Linked DNA regions of Arabidopsis thaliana. The protein of the gene in region 2 interacts with the protein of the main gene of each other region in a pairwise test. Each region holds a gene or a part of one and is shown on either strand. Other genes may lie near its edges.

Region 1 (4,849 bases), on a different chromosome or scaffold from region 2:
ATCGAGTAGTGGGAAGAGAGTGGCGTGTTTGGATTTCGACTTAACTTCGGTGGAGAGCTTTGTCAACACGGAATTGGAGTTGGGAAGAACGATGTACTGATTTTTCATGTTCGTTAGGGTTTTAGTTTTATTGATAATCTTACATAGAGTAGTACTTTTTACATGGTTTTAGTCTTTGTTGATCCATTTATCTTACTATTCGATGTGAATACATGATCTGAATACAATCTGATATACTATTCAAGATTTATTTTCTTGTTCGCTAAATTTTGGTTTCACGTTTTATTAACCCTAGAATGTTGTTGAACTATGAGAATGGTTTAACTGGTGTTGAAACTACAATATAAGTGTCAGCTATAGTAACTGTAGTGCAACTAAAACATGATAAGTTTCTTCATCACTGGATTGCTAACACAATTATACGTTTACGACTCATAAATCAGGCAGTGTACATATTATGGTTTTGTATTGCTTATGGTTGTGTCAAAGATGAGTTTACGAGTATTAGAAGTAATGTTTAAAGACTTGATAAAAGAGGAAGCAAGAGAAAAATTAAGAACAGAGGATATATAGAGAGAAGTGATGACCAACATAAACAATTCAGTCACCGTCATAAAAAATCAGTAATAGAAAAGAAAAATACAAGTTTCGATTAAACCTTCGTACAAATAGGAAGGACAATTTAGAAGAACGAATCAGAATTGTTGGCATAAAACAAAAAATTACATAAGCACCCAACGATATCTTAGTTTTTCACTTCACCCCCAAACTTTTTTCGACTTAAACTTCACTTTTAAAACTTTTTTAAGTTCCACAGCATGCAGATTTCTGTGTGGCCTGCCCTGCTCCAGCTGCTTGGTCCGTTTGGCTTATCTTGATCGTTGCAGGCTGCAATTGACCACGTAACATGAATGATCAATGCGTTTTCAGACCTAACAACGCAAAGATGTGAAAGAGAGAGATGTAACAAACCTCTGCCCTCGAGTCGGTGTCTGAAAGCCTCTGCTTAATGTCCCTCCCTATTGAGAAGAAAACTTCTTCCACGTTTAGGTTTGTCTTGGCACTCTGCAACAACAACACATATATAGCTAGATGTGTAAGCAATGTAAACACTACCCATCTAGTTTCGAAGATTGAGAGCATTGTTAGACTTACTGTTTCGAAGAACTTAATTCCGTACTCATCAGCAAGAGCCTGACCCTTTGCTGTAGGTACTGCCTGAAAATTTTGACAGGACCAAGAAGCTATTATTATTAGGATCAGTCGTGAATAAGGAACAGGGATAAAGGTGGTGTGCTTCATACCCTCTTGCTTTCATCCATGTCAGCCTTGTTCCCTACCAAGATCTTGTTAACATTATCCGAAGCATGCTGTTCGATATTACGAATCCAGTTCCTAATGTCTGCAATAACGTCAAGAATCGTGTTAGTAAAAGAGATGTTCATTTTGGTTAAGGAGATTTATAGAAACCAGTAAGTGAAAGACTTGATGGTGGGAGTTTTACTGTTGAAGGATGACTCGTCTGTGACATCATACACCAGCAAAATGCCCATTGCCCCACGGTAATAAGCTGCGAAAATGCGAGAGAAAAAGAATCGTCAAAATGGTGTTGAAACAACAGAAACAGATCAGTATAAACTGCCTAAATATCCTAATAATATCAACTAGACAGTACCTACAAAAGTAACCAGCCAAAAAGAGCAAATCAGTAAATTGGCATTGCACAAATGCATCCCCTTTACCTAGAACTATAAGTGGCTATCTTAGACTACTTATAGGCGTTTGTCATCAATCTCATCTTGACAATCTTTCTAACTTGACTTCTATTGTGATGGTGAATGCTAAGCAAAGTGATCAGTGAGTACATTTATACGAAAAGATGAACTATGAAGTGTCGAAAATAGCCCATAAACATCAACTATACAAGACCAAGTAAAGTAATCAGCCAAACAAAATAAATCAGTCAAGTGGCATTGTACAAGAGATCATAGCACATGTAAGTGTTCATCTCCTCGAGAATCTATCTAATCTGATTCATTACTGATGTTGTGAATGCTCTAAGTACTAATCCAGCAAGCAATTCTTATGAAAAAGATGAACTCACCAGTGGTGATAGTCCGAAACCGCTCTTGACCAGCGGTATCCCAAATCTGAAGCTTGATACGTTTACCGTCAAGCTCAATCGTTCTTATCTTAAAGTCAATGCTACATCAAAGCAAAATAGAGAAACAAGACTCTGTAAAAACAGAATCCAAAACAAACATCACAGAATTCAATTTATCTCCATAAGCAAAGAGAAAACACAAACCCAATGGTGGTAATGAAGCTAGTGGTGAAAGATCCATCAGAGAAACGTAGAAGAAGACAACTTTTACCAACACCTGCAACAAAAAAAAAAAACCTTAGGTTACAGAGATCTCTCAATACAAACACCGATCCACACAACGATCTAATCACAAACAAAAATCACAGTGGAATAGATCGATTCAATGGAAATCAAACAGATTCAACAAATTTCAACGGATCGACGATAAAAACATCGGAGAGGTTTCAGATCAACGTACCGCTATCTCCAATCAAAAGAAGCTTAATGAGATAATCGTAATCAGCTCTGGCTCTAGCAGGTGGAGCAGCCATTGAATCTAAAGGAAACAAAAACTCAAAGATCAAAATCTGAGTTTCATCGAAATCGAATTAGATCAAACAAAAGAGGGAGAAATCGAATGAATCGGCTGCGGGAAAGAAGAAGATCATGTACCGGAGAGAGAAGAAAACCGATGTAATCGGAAGAATCAGAGAGCGAAGGTTATGGCGGACGACTAAAATGCGCCAGTTCCCGATTTAGCTTTTGTTTCCCGGCTTCTTCTATTTTACTTCTTCTTCGTCTGCTTCGCGTGCACGATAGGATACACTGCGCACGTTAGTTGGAAACGAAGGAGTGCGCAGAAAAAGAGAGAAGGATTCTTTTTTGAAGGGCCTATATAGAAAGAAGAAGGCACGAAGCCTTATGGGCCTTTTATTAATTACTTTAAAATCAATTAGCTGGACTAAAACAATGCTATAGTAATTTTTATTTTTATATTTGGTATCAAATACTACTACTGTATACTAATGTAATCTGAAGTCATCTTTGGAAATATATACTACTACTATACAACTATACTTTTCAACAATATATAACTCTTTCATAAGAAGTGTGTTGATGTTTATGTTCTTACGCAACTGCATATTTATTAGAGATACATAAACACCACCAGTATTTTCGTTCATTATCATAAAATCTATACTCAAGATGTTCTAAACAAAATCCCCACAAAAGAATTTAAAACTCTCTCAAAAATTAACATAAACTTCCATTGATCAATATGTCACAATGGTAGAATTCAAGAAGAAATCAGAAAGAGAAGCAGGTAACTTATAAGTTTTGTAGTCATCCTTAGTAAAGACATTCTTAGACCATTCAACAAATCCACAAACCTTTCCAACACCGCGTCTCTCAAACGAAATCTCTGCACACCAAATCTCTGTTTTACATTCCTTAGTCCATTTGGGACCTAGACGATGTAACACAGCCGACTCCCACCAAACTGTTACTCTTCTTCCTCGGTCGGAATGTGCCACCGAGGTAAGATAACCAGGAGAAGTTGGCCTATTGGGAAGTCCTTCAAGTCCATCAACCGGACACCACCCACGATCTTCCTCTGGTTCACACCAAACTAACACCCCTTCACAAACCTTTGTTTGGCACATCATGTTCTCTATCTCCACCAAGCAAATATTCTTCTGAAAGTTAAGCTTCAATCCATTCATGTCATAAACTTTCCCACTCATTACCAAGCTACCTGGAACCACACTCATTTGAACAGTAAGATCTAGTGTTGTGGGCAATACTGGCTCCCAAGTTTGGGTCTTTGGGTCATAAACCTCTCCCCAATCCTCGATATTGTTGGAACTAGAGCCTCCAATCACGTAGATCTTATCGTTGATTACATCAGCTGCTGCGTTTTGTCGAGGTACACGCATCTCGGGGAGTCTACGCCATCCATGAGATGGACAATCGAGTACTATCAATCTCCTGCTACTATGTCCATCAACGAAGCCTCCGATTATGTAAATCTTTGAACCGATTGATACAACGGTTGAGGATTGACAAGTAACCGAAGGGATAGGTTTCAGTTTCTGTTTGGTAATCGGGGAAACTATAAACCATCGTGGAGGACAGTCTGGATAGCAATTCCTATGCAGGTCTAAGCAGACGTAGAGGAAACTCTCGGTTTTTCCGATGCAAGATCGTGTTGCGTGGAGCTCACGGGAGTCTAGGAGTGATCGGAAACCCTTGCAGACTAGGGATAGAGTTGGATAATGGAATCTGGAGACACGAGCCAAACAGTTGAGAACGATGTCGTCCGGTAACGAAGAAAACGACGTCGGAGGCGGTGAGTTTGATGATTTATTCTTCTCTTTCGTCGTCATTGTCTTCTTAGTTTTTTTGTTTCTGGTAAACGTCTTCTTAGGTTTTTGATTTAGGGTTTTTGTGCGTTATTAGTTATTTCCTTCAAATTTATTAACGAAGAATACCTAAAATTATACCTATGTAGCATAGAAACCTTGTTGGAAGGAAAACTATTAAATTTTGTTTCTTAGAATTTTAACTTATTTTGTCAGTATTTCTAAAATCTTTTTCGAATTTTCACAGTTCCCTCAGAGATTTGTTTGTATTTTGATGAACATTGTAAATGAAAAACATATTAAAATGTTTTAAGAAAACAAACAAGAAGAGCACGAGACTAAAATGAGTAAATGCCACATATAACGATAAGTCAAGAAAGATGATTTTGATTTCATAAAT
Region 2 (3,324 bases):
GGACTCCTGAAAGTGATGTGAATTCAGCCGCCTTACACAAAAAAGTCAAACATTTTGGTGTTTTGAATACACACGCTTCACACTTGGTCACAAGCTTATCTTTTATAATTGCTTGCTTTTCCTTGGAAACATCCTTTCCTTCTATCCAACTCGTAATTTAATATAGGAAGAAGAAGAAGAAGAAGAGTACCTCATACGTAAACCATTGATGGGCTCTTTTGATCGCCAAAGAGCTGTTCCGAAATTCAAAACAGCAACACCGTCACCGCTCCCTCTTTCTCCTTCGCCTTACTTCACTATGCCTCCTGGCCTTACTCCCGCCGACTTTCTCGACTCTCCTCTTCTCTTCACTTCCTCCAACGTATCTATCTATCTCCTCCAACGTTTCAAACTATGATTGTTTGTCCTTATCTTGGAATATTGAAAGAATTCAAGGTTCTTGATTTGTCCATTTCCCTTCTTCTTCTCTCATATCATCTTCTTCTTTGATCTTGAAATCACAGATTTTGCCGTCTCCTACGACAGGCACATTTCCAGCGCAATCTCTGAACTATAACAATAACGGTTTGCTCATTGACAAAAATGAAATCAAATATGAAGACACAACTCCTCCCTTGTTCCTACCATCTGTAGGATCCATTTTTGCATTTTTAGCTTCTGCTTTATTATCTCTTAAGACATTCTAGTTTTAAACTATCTCATTTTCAGATGGTAACTCAGCCTTTACCTCAACTGGATTTATTCAAATCCGAAATCATGTCGAGTAACAAAACCTCTGATGACGGCTACAATTGGCGCAAATACGGGCAGAAGCAAGTCAAAGGAAGCGAAAACCCGAGGAGTTACTTCAAATGCACGTATCCAAATTGTCTCACAAAGAAGAAAGTAGAGACGTCTCTTGTGAAGGGTCAGATGATTGAGATTGTCTATAAAGGAAGCCACAATCATCCCAAGCCCCAATCCACGAAGCGATCATCTTCCACCGCTATAGCAGCACATCAGAACAGCAGTAATGGAGACGGTAAAGACATTGGTGAAGATGAAACAGAGGCCAAGAGATGGTAATTAGCAGACTCATAATTAAGTAACTGAAACCAAAAGGATGAGGAGACAATGAGATGTCTGATTGGATTTGTTGTGAATGGCTTATAAATGCAGGAAAAGAGAAGAGAATGTGAAGGAGCCAAGAGTGGTGGTTCAGACAACAAGTGATATAGACATTCTTGACGATGGCTACAGATGGAGAAAGTATGGTCAGAAAGTCGTCAAGGGTAATCCAAATCCAAGGTGTGGTTTTATTTTTCTCTTGTCAATTCTGAATGAAAAGGAGGCTTGAAGCTTGAGCTATAAGTTAGTTAAATTTGTGATGTGCAGGAGCTATTACAAGTGCACATTTACAGGATGTTTTGTAAGGAAACACGTTGAAAGAGCATTTCAAGATCCCAAGTCAGTGATCACAACTTACGAAGGAAAACACAAACACCAAATCCCGACCCCAAGAAGAGGTCCAGTTTTAAGGTTACTTGGAAAAACAGAGACATAAAGAGCAAATGAGTTTTGGCATTTCAGCATTCCTATTGTAATCTTTCATTCATATATAGTATGTTTCCTTAATCATGCGCCTATACACACATAACTGATCAGGACTAGGCAGAGGCTAAAGTTCCAAGCTTCTCCATCATTTTGCCCCCTATGTTCACTACCGACGATAAATCTTTATTCAACTGTTTCAAGATATTAAATCAAACATACATCACACCAAGTGTTTGACATGATGATGATGGAATGGAATGGATGGTGGCAAATGATGTGATAAACACACAAAGGCATACACATAAATGTATATTACTACAAAGAGCGGAATATTTTTATGTTTCTTTAAAAAGAAAGAAAGACGCAAAAGCACATGTGATAGTAGCCGACAGTTTGAAGTAAAGCCAGCAAATCGTGAAAGCCATTTACTTTTAGATCTCTCTCTGCACTCTCTGACTTTGTCCGCAAAGTAGATCTGCTGCAATGGCTTCTCCTCTTCTCCCAACTTCGACTACTCCTGATCAACTTCCCGGCGGCGATCCACAGTTGCTGAGCTCTCTACGCGTCCTCTTGTCCCGCGTTCTAGCCACCGTCCGTCACGCTTCTGCAGATGCCAGACCCTGGGCAGAGCTCGTTGACCGGTCAGCGTTTTCCCGGCCACCATCGCTCTCGGAGGCAACGTCACGAGTAAGGAAGAACTTTTCCTATTTCCGAGCCAATTACATAACCTTAGTGGCAATCTTACTCGCCGCGTCTCTGCTCACGCACCCTTTCGCTCTCTTCCTCCTCGCATCGCTGGCCGCTTCTTGGCTTTTCCTCTACTTTTTCCGTCCGGCGGATCAGCCGTTGGTCATTGGAGGACGCACGTTCTCCGATCTTGAGACGCTAGGGATACTCTGCCTGTCCACTGTGGTGGTGATGTTCATGACCAGCGTTGGATCGCTCTTGATGTCCACTCTAGCAGTTGGGATCATGGGCGTGGCCATCCACGGAGCGTTTCGTGCTCCCGAAGACCTGTTTCTTGAAGAACAAGAAGCCATTGGATCTGGACTTTTCGCATTCTTCAACAACAATGCCTCTAATGCAGCTGCCGCTGCCATAGCCACCTCAGCAATGTCACGCGTTCGAGTCTGAGATTGTTGAAGAGACTACATTCCTACACCGCATTTCCAAAGTGTGATATTTATTCATATTGAATTGTTGTAACTTGTAACCATTCTTTTGTCATTTCTGTTTTGTTTACTTTGTTGCTGGAATTTTGAAACACAATTCATCTTACTATACACCATTAAAACGAGAGTCAGTAAAGAAGAATTTTACTAACTCTCTCTTGTTTTTTGACACCAAAGTAAAAAAGATACGACAAATTGGTTTAAGCTCAAAACCATGAATCGAAGAATAAGAATAAATTACACTGTGCTCTCATGTTAAGAGCTCTCTCTATCGTATTGCCTTGTTTCCTCAGCAACCTTTGTCCACACATTGGCGATCTTCTCTGCATATCCAACCTGCACATTCAAATACCAACAACTCTGTTTTCACACCTTTTTACATATTTTCATCTCTTTATTTCAAACATCTCACTCAGATTTCTCAGCATTCACTAGCATTGCAAGAGAGCAGATTTCACCAATTTTCAAGCATCCATTCAAATATCTCAAATCATATTCCTTTTGGTGAATCCATTTCATGAAAGAAAGTCCCCAAATCATAGCATCCCCTATAACACTCACTGACTTTTCTCTTCCATTTCAGAGCTAAAAGATCTTGCTTTACACTCTCTCGTTAATT
Region 3 (4,760 bases), on a different chromosome or scaffold from region 2:
TATACATATCTGGAGAATGTGAAGAAAAAGTCTCATTACCAATAATAATAAGAATTGGATTTGACAAAGTTTGAGAGTCTGTGTCAGACTTTATTTTAGAGGGACCAGGTCGGTTAACTGTCGTTGTCATGAGATCTTTCCTGTCTGTCTTTTTATCATTCAAACAAAAAAAAATGAATTTATAAAACTTAAACACAAACAAATAAGATCACTTTTGATTTATTTTATTTTTTAAATAAGGATGTGCAGGAATGAGATTTTCTTCTAAAATTGTGGGAGTAAATGAATGAATCTAGGTATGATTGATTTCATCAAAATCAGAAAACTGATTGTTTCTAGAAAAACATGCATTTGGGGTATTTTGAAACCACATGAGTATATGATGAGTTATTATAAACTAGAATTGCGTTGTAAACGAAATAGAACAAATCTTCTTTTGGAAATCCGTATACTTTAGCGTAAGAAAATGGAAGAATTTGATTTGGACTCGTATCTTTGAAGTATATATAATTCAGCATTTACATTATTGAGATTTATCTCTCATATGTTGTTTTTGCTTTTCCTCATTCTATGGACTTAGCTGCAAGTTTTAAATATCTATGGTAATGAACATGGTCCAGCCTATACAGCAACGAATATCTATCACTATTTTTAATATATATACACAATCAAAATTCAAAACCATGAGTTGCTTGCATATCCCTGTGTGGTCAAAGTCAAGACTGAACTATATTAAAGAGAAGTATCTTGCAACTAACACCATAGCTTATTCAAGACACAGCGACATGGAATATTACATTTCTTAGTTGTTTTAAACAGCCATTGGTTTTCACAACACTTAGTTAAAAAGGAAGTAAAAAAAGAGTCTCAGATAGTTTTGATTAAAACATTTTTTAAACTACTGACCGCAGCAACCGCCATTGTTCTGTTGGATTGGCTGACCTTTCATTTGGACAGTTCCAGGACCAGATGTCTTGTTTGCATTCGTTTGGCTTCCCATTCTGCAAAGAAAATGAGTTACGATATGATTAGACTCAATTCTCCATGTTACATAAACTAGACTGAATCAGCAAATGTCGATACAAGATATCAACCATATGGAAAATCTATCAACAGAAGTTAAGTACACAAGCTTGAGGAAGCTACAAGGATACAGCAGTTAGTTTGTTGATTTGCTTTCCATTAGTCATCAAGTCTAGAATAGCACACTTCGGATTTGAAACTTTACATGAATAGTTTATTTCATGAAAACAGTGGAGAATCAAGATGCTTTGCAGCAGAAAAAAACACAGAGAATGATTTGATGTATATAATGGTGATCAAGGAATATAGTAATAGAACAAGTTTACTAAACCTAATCTATGTTAAATCTTCGCAGAAAAAATTATGGCGAAAGATTAAAGATAGTGAACATACTTCTTTTTTATCTCGCCAGCAATAGTTAAGAATGCCTGTTCAACGTTAATAGAATCCTTGGCACTGGTCTCAAGAAAGGGAATTCCAAGCTCATCTGCTAAGGCCTGCAGTGATTTTGAGTAGATGAAATGTAAGAAAACCAATTCACAGTTGTATCAGGAGTAACAGCTGCTGCAAAAATAAGCAATTTCTACTCGGTGGATTCAGATCATCTAGCTTTGGGAATTTGGTCAGAGATCATCTACATTCATAGCCGTAAATTCTGGTATAACAATCTCAATGGTTGTAATATCATCACATGGTTAAAGATATGCGAAACCATGAAATGATCAAATGAGGAAAGGGGAAAGTACCATGCAAAGGATGTTATGCATAAGATAGAAGCAAAATCATAAATGGAAAAATTGCTGGGAACTTAACTAGGGATGTGAGCTTACCCTTCCAGTTTCGGTGGAAACAACTTTGCTTTCAACCATATCATTCTTGTTACCGATTAAAAGCTTGCAAACACTCTCATTGGCATATCTATCGATCTCACTCAACCACTGCTTCACATTGTTGAAGCTTTCCATCTCAGTACAGTCATAAACAATCTGTTGCAATTATCATCATTAAGGTTCATCACTTAAAGGGTGGATTACAACATTAAAATGATTCATATTCCAACATTACAATACCAATCTCAGACTAAACCACTTAAAATGAGAAATGGAAATAGGGACATAACACTAGTCTAGGTAAGCCAAAAAAAAGCAAGTAAGAAAGCGAATATAAAGATTGCTCACAATGATTCCATGAGCTCCTCTGTAATAGCTGCTAGTGATGGTCCTGAAACGCTCCTGTCCAGCAGTATCCCACTAAAAGAGAGCAGCAACAGTAAAATTGAGTAAACACAATCATCCAAAACATATTATATAATTGAAAACTCACAATTTGCAGCTTAATCGTCTTCCCATCCTGCTCAATCGTCCTAATTTTCTGCAAAACCAACCACATTATAAGTAAGTTTGGGATAAAACAATCTCGATCATGTATGTAAACAAGGTCAAAGAATGAACTTACGAAGTCAACACCAATGGTGCTTATGTAGCTGTCAATGTAAGCATCATCCTAGAAATAGCAACAAATCCCAAAATCACGAAACAGTACAAAAGAAGAAACCTAACACGAGCTAATTCTCGACGACGGAATCAATTAAGAATCAAAATCAAGTCAAACTCACAGCGAATCGGAGAAGAAGACACGATTTTCCAACAGAGGAGTCACCGATCAACAAAAGCTTGAACAGATAATCGCTACAACAACAAAAAATCGAAATCGGTGTGAGTAAAATCGAAAACGAAAGAATGGCTCTCAAGGAGGAGAGAAACACTTACTACTCGTTGCTCATGATTTAGCTGAAGACTGCGTTTCCGAGATTTGATTTTCCAAGATGAGAACAACTTTCCGGGAAAAAGCTCTTTTTCTCTATAATATAAGAAACAAAAAAAAAGAGAGGTTTGGGTTTAGGGGGCGTGTCAATCAATTTACATGAACATTGAACCCCACGACTTCTACTGGATTTTTTTGTTCCCAGTTTTTTTAATATTTGTTTAATTCCTTGTTGTTTTTCCCGAGACAATAAAGAAGCTTTGACCTTGTCTCACTGATTTCTTTACGTGTGTGTGTCTTCTTATTTGGGCTTTTTGATAAATGGGCCGAGCTCAAAATCTTGTCTATCTAACTTAACCGTCGTTAACGTCCTGGCCCTGTTATTAAAGGTTTGGATTTTATTACTCATGTATATGTCTCAATTTTTATTTTTATTTTTTTAGAGAAGATAATTTTACATAAATTTGATTTATAATCCGTGATCAAGATGTGAGGAATTAAATATAATGAAGTATTTAAAGCGGATTAAAAAGGTATATTGAAAAAGAAAAGAAAAACTTTGATTGAATATGCATGGATTTTCCAATTTTATATGACAGTATATTTTATCAACAAAATCATTCTCTTTTTCATACTCCATTCATATCATTTTTAATTAAGTCATATTAATCCTACCAAAAGTTACCTTCTAATTTTACGTTTCTTCTAATTTCCTTTTCTGGCAAAAAAGAAGATATTTCCTCAATTTATAATATTTTTTTTCCATCAAACTATTTTTTTTTATATAACCAAAAAAAAAAAGTGTAGTAACGCTAACGTGTTTGCAGCTTGCAACTTGGCTAGCAGATTTAAAATAAGATAAGTTCTAAAAATAAACAAAACATATATAGCCAAAAACACAAAATTAAAAACACGAAGATTTGTTTCACACAATACTTGGAATATCCTAATTATAAATAACTAAAAAGATTGAGAAACGAACACAAATCTCCACCTTATACAAGAATCGTAAAAGAGAAAAAAAAAACAGAGAGAGATCTTCAAAAAGATGGCGATCGTTAGCCCTAATTTCTGTGCACCGTACCCTATCGAGTTGGGAATCGTACGGAAGGTGATGACTTTAACCGATGGTAACTTCGCCGTCACGGACGTTAACGGCAATCTCCTTTTCAAAGTCAAGGAACCTTTGTTTAGCATCAGCGACAAAAGGATTTTATTGGACGCATACGATACTCCAATCTTGACTTTGAGAGAAAATGTAAGTATACGTCTATCAACTACAATTCTTTATAACTTGCATGGAGAGGCACAATTTTTTCATGGTGATACAAAAAAAAAATTTCATTATGCAAATCATATATACACAAACATGCTCTTATAACTTGCATGGAGGTACACTTTTTCAATACGTCTATCAACTAATTGTAAATAATATCAAAATCATCATCACTCATTCGAGTATGTTAAATCGTCATAGATCATCCAATAAAATCTGATCCACAACTTTTTTTTCTTATAACATAAAAATTGTAGAAGGTGAGCTTGCATGATAGGTGGCTAGTATATAGAGGGAAGAGTACAGACCAAAGTGATCTATTATACACATTGAAACGATCTTCAATGATTCAAATAATGAAGCCAAAACTAGACATCTTTTTGGCTCATAATAAAGAAATGAAGATTTGCGACTTCCATGTTAAAGGAAGTTGGATCGACCGGTCTTGTGTCGTCTACGCCGGCAAATCTGATGCCATTGTTGCTCAGGTAATTACACTGATCAAATTGTCTGTAAATTGTATAAACCGGACTAGCTAGTTATATGATCGTGTTAATTGAGTCATTGTTGTTGTTTTGTTGTTTTTTTCAGATGCACAAGAAACATACGGCACAAAGCATATTAATTGGGAAGAGTAATTTTTCGGTTACTGTCTATCCGAATGTTGACTTTGCTTTTATAGTTTCTCTCATTGTAA
Region 4 (6,857 bases), on a different chromosome or scaffold from region 2:
AGTGTGAATGAAATCATAAAGTTTGCAAGAAAAAAATTTGGACTTATTAATAAGTTCTCTTCCATAGTCACATGGAGATGGATTTTGTTCGTCCACTTGTTTGAGCATAATAAGCGTACCGTATAAACCTAATCTTTACTTTAATTTCTATACTTATCGTTCATATTTTAAGGAAATTAGCTAGGTAGCATAACTTAATTACACTTTAAACTCCAATTTCTTAAAATTAAATAAATAATATGATGAGATTTACCAAAAGAATGTCATACTAACCTTTTCTTTCATAAAAAAAAACATGTGCTTTAGTTTGCAGATTAAAGGGAGATTAAATATGATTAAATAGGTTAATTAGTCAAAGTAATGAATAAGAAAGATTTGAAAAAAAGGGATCAGGCACCTACCTAGATAACAATAGCCGGACTAAGAACATGGAAAGAACAATGGTTAAAGGGTATTTGCGCTCCTAATACTACAATCATTTTTTTGTTTCCGAGTATTAGTAGTCAAATTCAATTCATAGACAAATGTAAATGATTAAGAACTACTCCGTATTATTGAAAATACTCTGTATATTCTTGAGGCTTTTGAAAGCATGGGACGAAAAAGTAAGAAATACAAATAGTACTCCAGCATGAGCATGCGTCTCGAAATATGAAATTTAGTTTATTAATTTTCTGAACCACATCTTTATGTCAAGTATTTTGCAAATACGACCCTTCATGTGACACAAAGTCCACAATAAAACCAAATGATCCAACAATCATCATAGAGATGCTCAAAGGATTAGTATCGGTGAATGAGTTGCTTATATGCATCCGGATTCTTCGAATAATACTCGACCTCAGCCTGTTACACAAAAAAATTTAAAAAGACAAAAACAATAGATTAGTGCTAATGTACTTTGTTACCACTGAGAATCTAATGGGAAACTAAAAGACTATAGTGTTACCTTACGGACTCCTTTTATGGCAACTAAAAGCTTTTGTCCGAGCAAATCGTGGAGAACTTTGTCTTTGTCCAGAGCTTCAACAGCTTCTGAGAGCGTTTCCGGAAGTCTGTTCAATGTAGCAGCCACATCCGCCGGATTTATATCTGTTCCATCCGAACAACTCAAGATCAAGCTTCATATTAACACTACATATACATGAGAATGAATAACATAAGTTTTTAGTTACCTATTGGAGTAGGAAGTTGAAGATGTCGCCGGAGACCATCAATACCAGCAGCCATTATAACAGCCAAACCAAGGTGAGGATTTGCAGAGCCATCAAAAGACTTTATCTCAAAGTTAGTAACTAAACCATCAGGAGTTCCTGGTGGAGAAGCTGCTCTTAACGCTGCTTCGCGGTTTTCTTTGCCCCAACATTGGAATGCTCCACTCCATGTATTAGGTTGGATTCGGTCGTAGCTGGAAATTTAAGTGACACACACAACTTTTAATAACAATTGAGGAAATTACTCGAAAAGTACGGTTTTCGAGTTACCTGTTTGGGAGTGGAGCTATAATAGCTAAGATTGATGGAAGATGAAATAGAACTCCGGCCATGAACTCTTCTCCAACGGAAGAGATTCCATGAGAAGATGAGTTATTAGATGCCGGGAAGACATTTTCGCCGTTTTTCCAAAGACTTAGATGCACATGTGATCCAGAACCAATGTCACAATAATCATACCTGAAGAAAAAACACATATGTTAAAAATTTGCAGTTACAACGAATAATTTGGTGGGAGAGACTGACATACTTTGGAACAAAGGTTGCGAGCAATCCCTGTTTCCTTGCAACCGATCTTATAACTTCACGTGTGTAGACCAAGTTGTCGGCAGCATGGGATGCAATGGTGTGACCGAGAGATACTTCAAACTGACCTTTCCCGGATTCAGCATGAAACTATGAAAAAATTTCATACATGTCAAGAAGCATGTTGCAGACTGATCATTATGAGGGATTTTTGAATTATTTGTAACCTGTTCAACTTCGATGTTCAAGGACTCGAGTGCGGGTACAATATCATGGAAGATCGGAGATGCAGCATCGAATGAGGATGTGGCACAGTAAGGACCAAAGTCAAAAGGCATATACTCTTCTTTCCCTTCCCTTTTAAAAAATGGACAGAACAAGTGTTAAGATTGTGAAAATGATTGGATTGAACAAAGAAACCGGTATTCAAGAAATATATAGTCGCATACCGCACAACGTTCTTGAGGAGATAAAACTCATTCTCAAAACCAGCGTTCATTACCTAAAAGCCAAGGAAGATTTGAGCTTAAGCAACCAAAAAGCAAATAAAAGTTTTCGTAGAATGGCTATATGGAGATTTCTTACCAAGTCAAATTCATCTTTGAGAACTTTTGCGACCCTTCTTAAGGTCTCTCGTGGACAGTACCCCCATGCTTCACCAGGCTTCAATTGCATATCAGCTAAAACCATGCTCTCTTGCTTCGTCCTAATGATAAAATATGATACGGAAACAATTAAGAAAGAAACATCTGTAAAATTAACTCCAAAGAGAATGAACACGAGTAAAGTACCAAGGTATTGTCTGCTTGGTTGATAGATCTGGAACAAGTCTAATCTCACCCACACCTGTCAATTTAGACTCTTCTGCTGGTCCATCAGTAAATGAAGTCATCCCCATTGATGCAAAGGTCAGACCAACGCCGTTCTTCTTCACACTTCTGTTAAAACGCTGCGCTTGAACAGCCTGAAACAATACAATAAACAGAATTCTAGTTAAGTTTTTGTGCTTCTAAGGAAAAATCGTTGAGGTGGGAAACAGAGGTTTTTTCTTTAGAAGAAACCAAAAAAAAAAAACTCACACGGCATCTTTGTTGTCCAGATGTATCAACCCAAATAATGCGTACAAAAGAACTACTATCTTCTTGAACATCAGGCTCCTTTATCTTCAATTTGGGAGATATTATATTTTGTGGACTAGAAGAATCTGTGTCTATATTAAGCTTATAAAATCCAATAGAATTTCGTGAGAATATGTCTTTAGCTGCATCAATAGCTTCCATGAGTGAGAGATCACCACTGGCACAAGCATCACTCAGAACTAAGAAGATAACCTCACGTGCTTTCTTTGCACCTGCAAAAAACAGCGAGCTATGTTCAAGACTGAAGCAAGACGATTTCAAGTGCCAAAGCTTAGAAACAGGATTGGAACATATATAAGTATGTTACAAACTATAGAAAAGAGGTAGAAACTTGAGCTAACCTAAATAGTAGGTCTCAGGAGATGCATACCCATCAGTGCTGAACATAACCTGCAATAATATCTTATGGTTACTCATGAACAATAACAAAGATAATGCAAGTAAAATAAATTTTACCTTCTTTATTGATGCTAAGTCAAGGAGCTCTTTAACTGAAGAAACCATACCATGGACACTAAGCTTTGGAACCGCCAAGCCGAAATCAAGGTAAACCTTAAGGAACAAGAAAATAAGTTAATGACTAGGCATGATTTTACAGATAATTGAAATGGGATGACGAAAAACCTGAGGATAAACTGAAGACAGAAAGGATGCTTCCTTTGAGAATGGATAAGCTGCATGAAGAAGAACTATACGACACTTTCCAAATCTTTTGTCTTCAAGAAGGGTTCTAAGGTGAAGAGGATTCGACAACCTCAAATCCAAATCCTTGTCACCAAAACTGGCTCAAACAACAAAAGAAAAGGAGAATTTTCATTACTACAAACCTCTGAGCATGAGTTTCTGTTTCTGTGTAAGGTTTGTTTGATAAAAAGATCAGACTTTACTAACATCAATCATATAGTTGATCAAATCTTGCATACCCGGTGTGAATCTGCAAGGGCAAGTCGCGACGCACAGCGACCTCCAAACTAATGGTAAGGATGTAGTCAATCAAGCCCTTGTTTCCTATGCGGACAGGCTTTCCAGCTGCAGCAATATTAGATTTTAAGGTGATCAGACAACAACTATGTTACTTCTTGATAGACCAAGCACAACCATCTTACCTCGCAAGACTTCAACAAGGCCATTCTCAGCAACTTCTTTACTCACATAAGTATCAATATCCAAACCGCTACGATATGCAGCAATAGTTTTCAAAGCAACAATCTCTGGAACAAGCGTGACCGAAGTAGTCAAGGTTAACCAATACTAGTGAGTATAGTCACAATCATTAAGCGTGTATTAAAAAAGCAAAGATAAAAGGATATGAATTTAATCTTTCAACAAAGGTTTTGGTGAAAGAATCTAAATCCCAAACAGGCGGTTCAGTACTCTCAGAACCATAGAAATAACCACCAGGACACTCCTCTTCGAGGATTTGCTCGGCAAGAGTTTCGATACGCAACACTCTACCAACGAATGGAACAAAGTTTCTATGCCATTCAATATCATGTTTCTTGTCTAGCTTTAATCCATCATCAATGAGGAGAGCAGAGATTCGAGCTTCTTTAAAACACTTGGAAGTAAAAGAATCCAAACCCGAGGTTTTACGATGTTCCTCAACCGCTTCTAAAGATACTTCAGTGCCATAAAGTTGAGCAATCTCCCTCAAGTTCCTCTGTTTCATTCATACAACCAAAAACATTCATACCAACTTCACGAGATTCCTAAACAAGTCAACATCTTTTGAGTAACACTCGAAACTTTAGTTAACTAATACTTTTGAGACTAATTAGGAAACTTTAAGCTAACGTTTTCATTAATTAGAATCTGATTCAAACGAAAACTAACTAGAGCAAAAACACTTGGTATCGTCGTGTACCTTGAAGGAGAGAGAATGAGGAGCGAAGGTTAAAGCGTCGCCGGCAGCCTCGGAGAAAGTTCCGATGAACGGAAAAGATGAGTCAAGAGAGACAATGTTGTGTGCGTGAGCATCAACGAGCTCTATCTTCTCTATTGCTTCCTTTAACTCACTAAACTCCATCTCCGTCTCTCTCTGTCTAAAGTCAACAGTTCGATGTTCTTGATTCGTGTTAATCTTCTTACAATCTTCACAGTTTATTACAGGAACGGTTTTAAAGCATAAGTGAAGAAGATCCAATCAAATCGTTGACTTTTCCTTGTCTGATTTGGTCGGTGGCCGATGTCTCTGACCTTTAAACTTCACGACGGCGTTTAGAGGAGAGTGATGAGCACGTGTCCACGTGAAATACATTAGCCTCCACGTGTCCTAACTAGTGTGGATAACTTTCAACTGTGTTCTTGGTTTTTCATTTTCCAAATTCCGGTTCCTTGCCAAGGACAATCTCGTTTTAACAAATTCGAATTCAAAATTAAATTGGAAAAAGCTCCATTTGGTTCTTCCTTCATCAATCCAATCCTTTAAACCGGACAAGAAAAAACTGATTAATGCTAAATTTTTAATTTTGTAAATCCAAATTAAACCGGCATCCAAATCAAAACTAAAACCATTTCATTATATTTTACAAACCGAAGAGAAGCTACACCAAACCGGAGAAGAAGAAAAAAACGAAGGAAAAACAACGGTATCGTCGTCGTCTTCTAGCTCTGCTTTCTACCCAGAAAATTTGCAGTTTCTTTTTCTCCACCTTATCTTTCTACCATTTTTCTTCGATGGCATTGATACAAAATCCTGTTCAAGGAACTACTTCCGCGTACGCCAATGAGATCGCACAACTTGGTTTTTCTCGGTAACATTCTCATATTTCATACAATCATACTGTTTTGAATTTTACGTTTCTTTAATTCTTCAGTTGTGTTTATATTAAATCTATCTTTCTCTGTTTCTCATTCTTGCAGAAGCGTGGTTCAGCAACATATATCTTCCCCTGTTTATTTTCGGTGTATACCAACTATTTCAATAACGCCCACAATGTGTTCGACAAAGGTCCCCAACGAACGTACAGAGAAAATGAATTCTGGTTTGATCTCAACAAGACACCAAGTAGATCCTAAGAAAGAATTGTCTCGGATTCTGAGAACAGATGCTGCTGTGAAGGGCATTGAGAGGAAAGCCAATTCCGAAAAGTACTTAACTTTATGGCCAAAAGCTGTTCTAGAAGCTCTTGACGAAGCTATCAAAGAGAATCGATGGCAGTCTGCTCTCAAGGTACAGCTCTTTAATCCTTCTTCATTCTTACAGATACTTGGACATAGATTCGATAGAATTCACTTTCCTGTTTCTCTACTTTATAGATTTTCAATCTTCTTAGGAAGCAGCATTGGTATGAACCAAGATGCAAAACTTATACAAAGCTGTTTAAAGTGCTTGGGAATTGTAAACAGCCTGATCAAGCCAGCTTGCTTTTCGAAGTTATGTTATCTGAAGGATTGAAACCAACCATTGATGTGTATACCTCTCTTATCTCTGTTTATGGCAAAAGCGAGCTTCTAGACAAGGCGTTTTCTACACTTGAGTATATGAAATCTGTTAGTGACTGCAAGCCAGATGTGTTCACCTTTACTGTTCTCATCAGTTGTTGCTGCAAACTGGGTCGGTTTGATCTGGTTAAAAGTATCGTTCTTGAGATGTCGTATCTTGGAGTTGGATGCAGCACGGTTACTTACAATACTATTATTGATGGGTATGGAAAGGCTGGAATGTTTGAGGAAATGGAAAGTGTTCTGGCTGATATGATCGAGGACGGAGATTCTCTTCCGGATGTTTGTACGCTTAACTCGATCATTGGGTCATATGGAAATGGTCGCAACATGAGGAAGATGGAGAGCTGGTATAGTCGGTTCCAGCTGATGGGGGTGCAACCGGATATCACTACATTTAACATACTGATCCTGTCATTTGGAAAAGCTGGTATGTATAAGAAGATGTGCTCTGTTATGGATTTTATGGAGAAAAGGTTCTTCTCCCTGACGACTGTCACTTACAATATAGTGATTGAGACGTTTGGAAAAGCTG

What was found.
Region 1: the proteins of PRA1.B6 (region 2) and RABE1c interact in a two-hybrid assay, tested with the Arabidopsis thaliana proteins (one large-scale study listed by BioGRID).
Region 3: the proteins of PRA1.B6 (region 2) and ATFP8 interact in a two-hybrid assay, tested with the Arabidopsis thaliana proteins (one large-scale study listed by BioGRID).
Region 4: the proteins of PRA1.B6 (region 2) and NodGS interact in a two-hybrid assay, tested with the Arabidopsis thaliana proteins (one large-scale study listed by BioGRID).

The regions. Positions count from the first base shown.
Region 1 is NC_003074.8:16,915,696-16,920,544, reverse strand, and holds RABE1c (RAB GTPase homolog 8A), read right to left. Parts: upstream 3,019-4,849; 5' UTR 2,759-3,018; exon of another isoform or gene 2,643-2,758; 5' UTR 2,638-2,642; coding exon 2,565-2,637; intron 2,382-2,564; coding exon 2,309-2,381; intron 2,206-2,308; coding exon 2,105-2,205; intron 1,571-2,104; coding exon 1,505-1,570; intron 1,403-1,504; coding exon 1,305-1,402; intron 1,219-1,304; coding exon 1,156-1,218; intron 1,066-1,155; coding exon 973-1,065; intron 889-972; coding exon 805-888; 3' UTR 527-804; downstream 1-526. Other genes in the region: AT3G46070 (C2H2-type zinc finger family protein), read left to right, coding at 1-100; AT3G46050 (Galactose oxidase/kelch repeat superfamily protein), read right to left, coding at 3,361-4,473. UniProt on the Arabidopsis thaliana protein: Involved in membrane trafficking from the Golgi to the plasma membrane.
Region 2 is NC_003076.8:2,204,105-2,207,428, forward strand, and holds PRA1.B6 (prenylated RAB acceptor 1.B6), read left to right. Parts: upstream 1-1,895; 5' UTR 1,896-2,016; coding exon 2,017-2,667; 3' UTR 2,668-2,824; downstream 2,825-3,324. Other genes in the region: WRKY26 (WRKY DNA-binding protein 26), read left to right, coding at 209-361, 504-629, 709-1,061, 1,159-1,287, 1,375-1,543; SNX2b (sorting nexin 2B), read right to left, coding at 2,961-3,041. UniProt on the Arabidopsis thaliana protein: May be involved in both secretory and endocytic intracellular trafficking in the endosomal/prevacuolar compartments.
Region 3 is NC_003074.8:3,708,592-3,713,351, forward strand, and holds ATFP8 (Ras-related small GTP-binding family protein), read right to left. Parts: upstream 3,027-4,760; 5' UTR 2,807-3,026; coding exon 2,793-2,806; intron 2,712-2,792; coding exon 2,639-2,711; intron 2,527-2,638; coding exon 2,479-2,526; intron 2,395-2,478; coding exon 2,347-2,394; intron 2,274-2,346; coding exon 2,202-2,273; intron 2,010-2,201; coding exon 1,854-2,009; intron 1,521-1,853; coding exon 1,417-1,520; intron 1,002-1,416; coding exon 899-1,001; 3' UTR 540-898; downstream 1-539. Other genes in the region: AT3G11720 (Polyketide cyclase/dehydrase and lipid transport superfamily protein), read right to left, coding at 1-9, 90-130; AT3G11740 (LURP-one-like protein (DUF567)), read left to right, coding at 3,836-4,045, 4,321-4,551, 4,655-4,760. UniProt on the Arabidopsis thaliana protein: Protein transport. Regulator of membrane traffic from the Golgi apparatus towards the endoplasmic reticulum (ER).
Region 4 is NC_003074.8:19,705,115-19,711,971, reverse strand, and holds NodGS (nodulin/glutamine synthase-like protein), read right to left. Parts: upstream 5,153-6,857; 5' UTR 4,905-5,152; coding exon 4,743-4,904; intron 4,539-4,742; coding exon 4,189-4,538; intron 4,101-4,188; coding exon 3,985-4,100; intron 3,908-3,984; coding exon 3,802-3,907; intron 3,660-3,801; coding exon 3,503-3,659; intron 3,431-3,502; coding exon 3,335-3,430; intron 3,269-3,334; coding exon 3,220-3,268; intron 3,091-3,219; coding exon 2,819-3,090; intron 2,704-2,818; coding exon 2,531-2,703; intron 2,446-2,530; coding exon 2,325-2,445; intron 2,242-2,324; coding exon 2,189-2,241; intron 2,097-2,188; coding exon 1,967-2,096; intron 1,890-1,966; coding exon 1,744-1,889; intron 1,674-1,743; coding exon 1,485-1,673; intron 1,409-1,484; coding exon 1,176-1,408; intron 1,093-1,175; coding exon 950-1,092; intron 847-949; coding exon 784-846; 3' UTR 512-783; downstream 1-511. Other genes in the region: AT3G53170 (LOW protein: PPR containing protein), read left to right, coding at 5,555-5,631, 5,741-6,050, 6,137-6,857.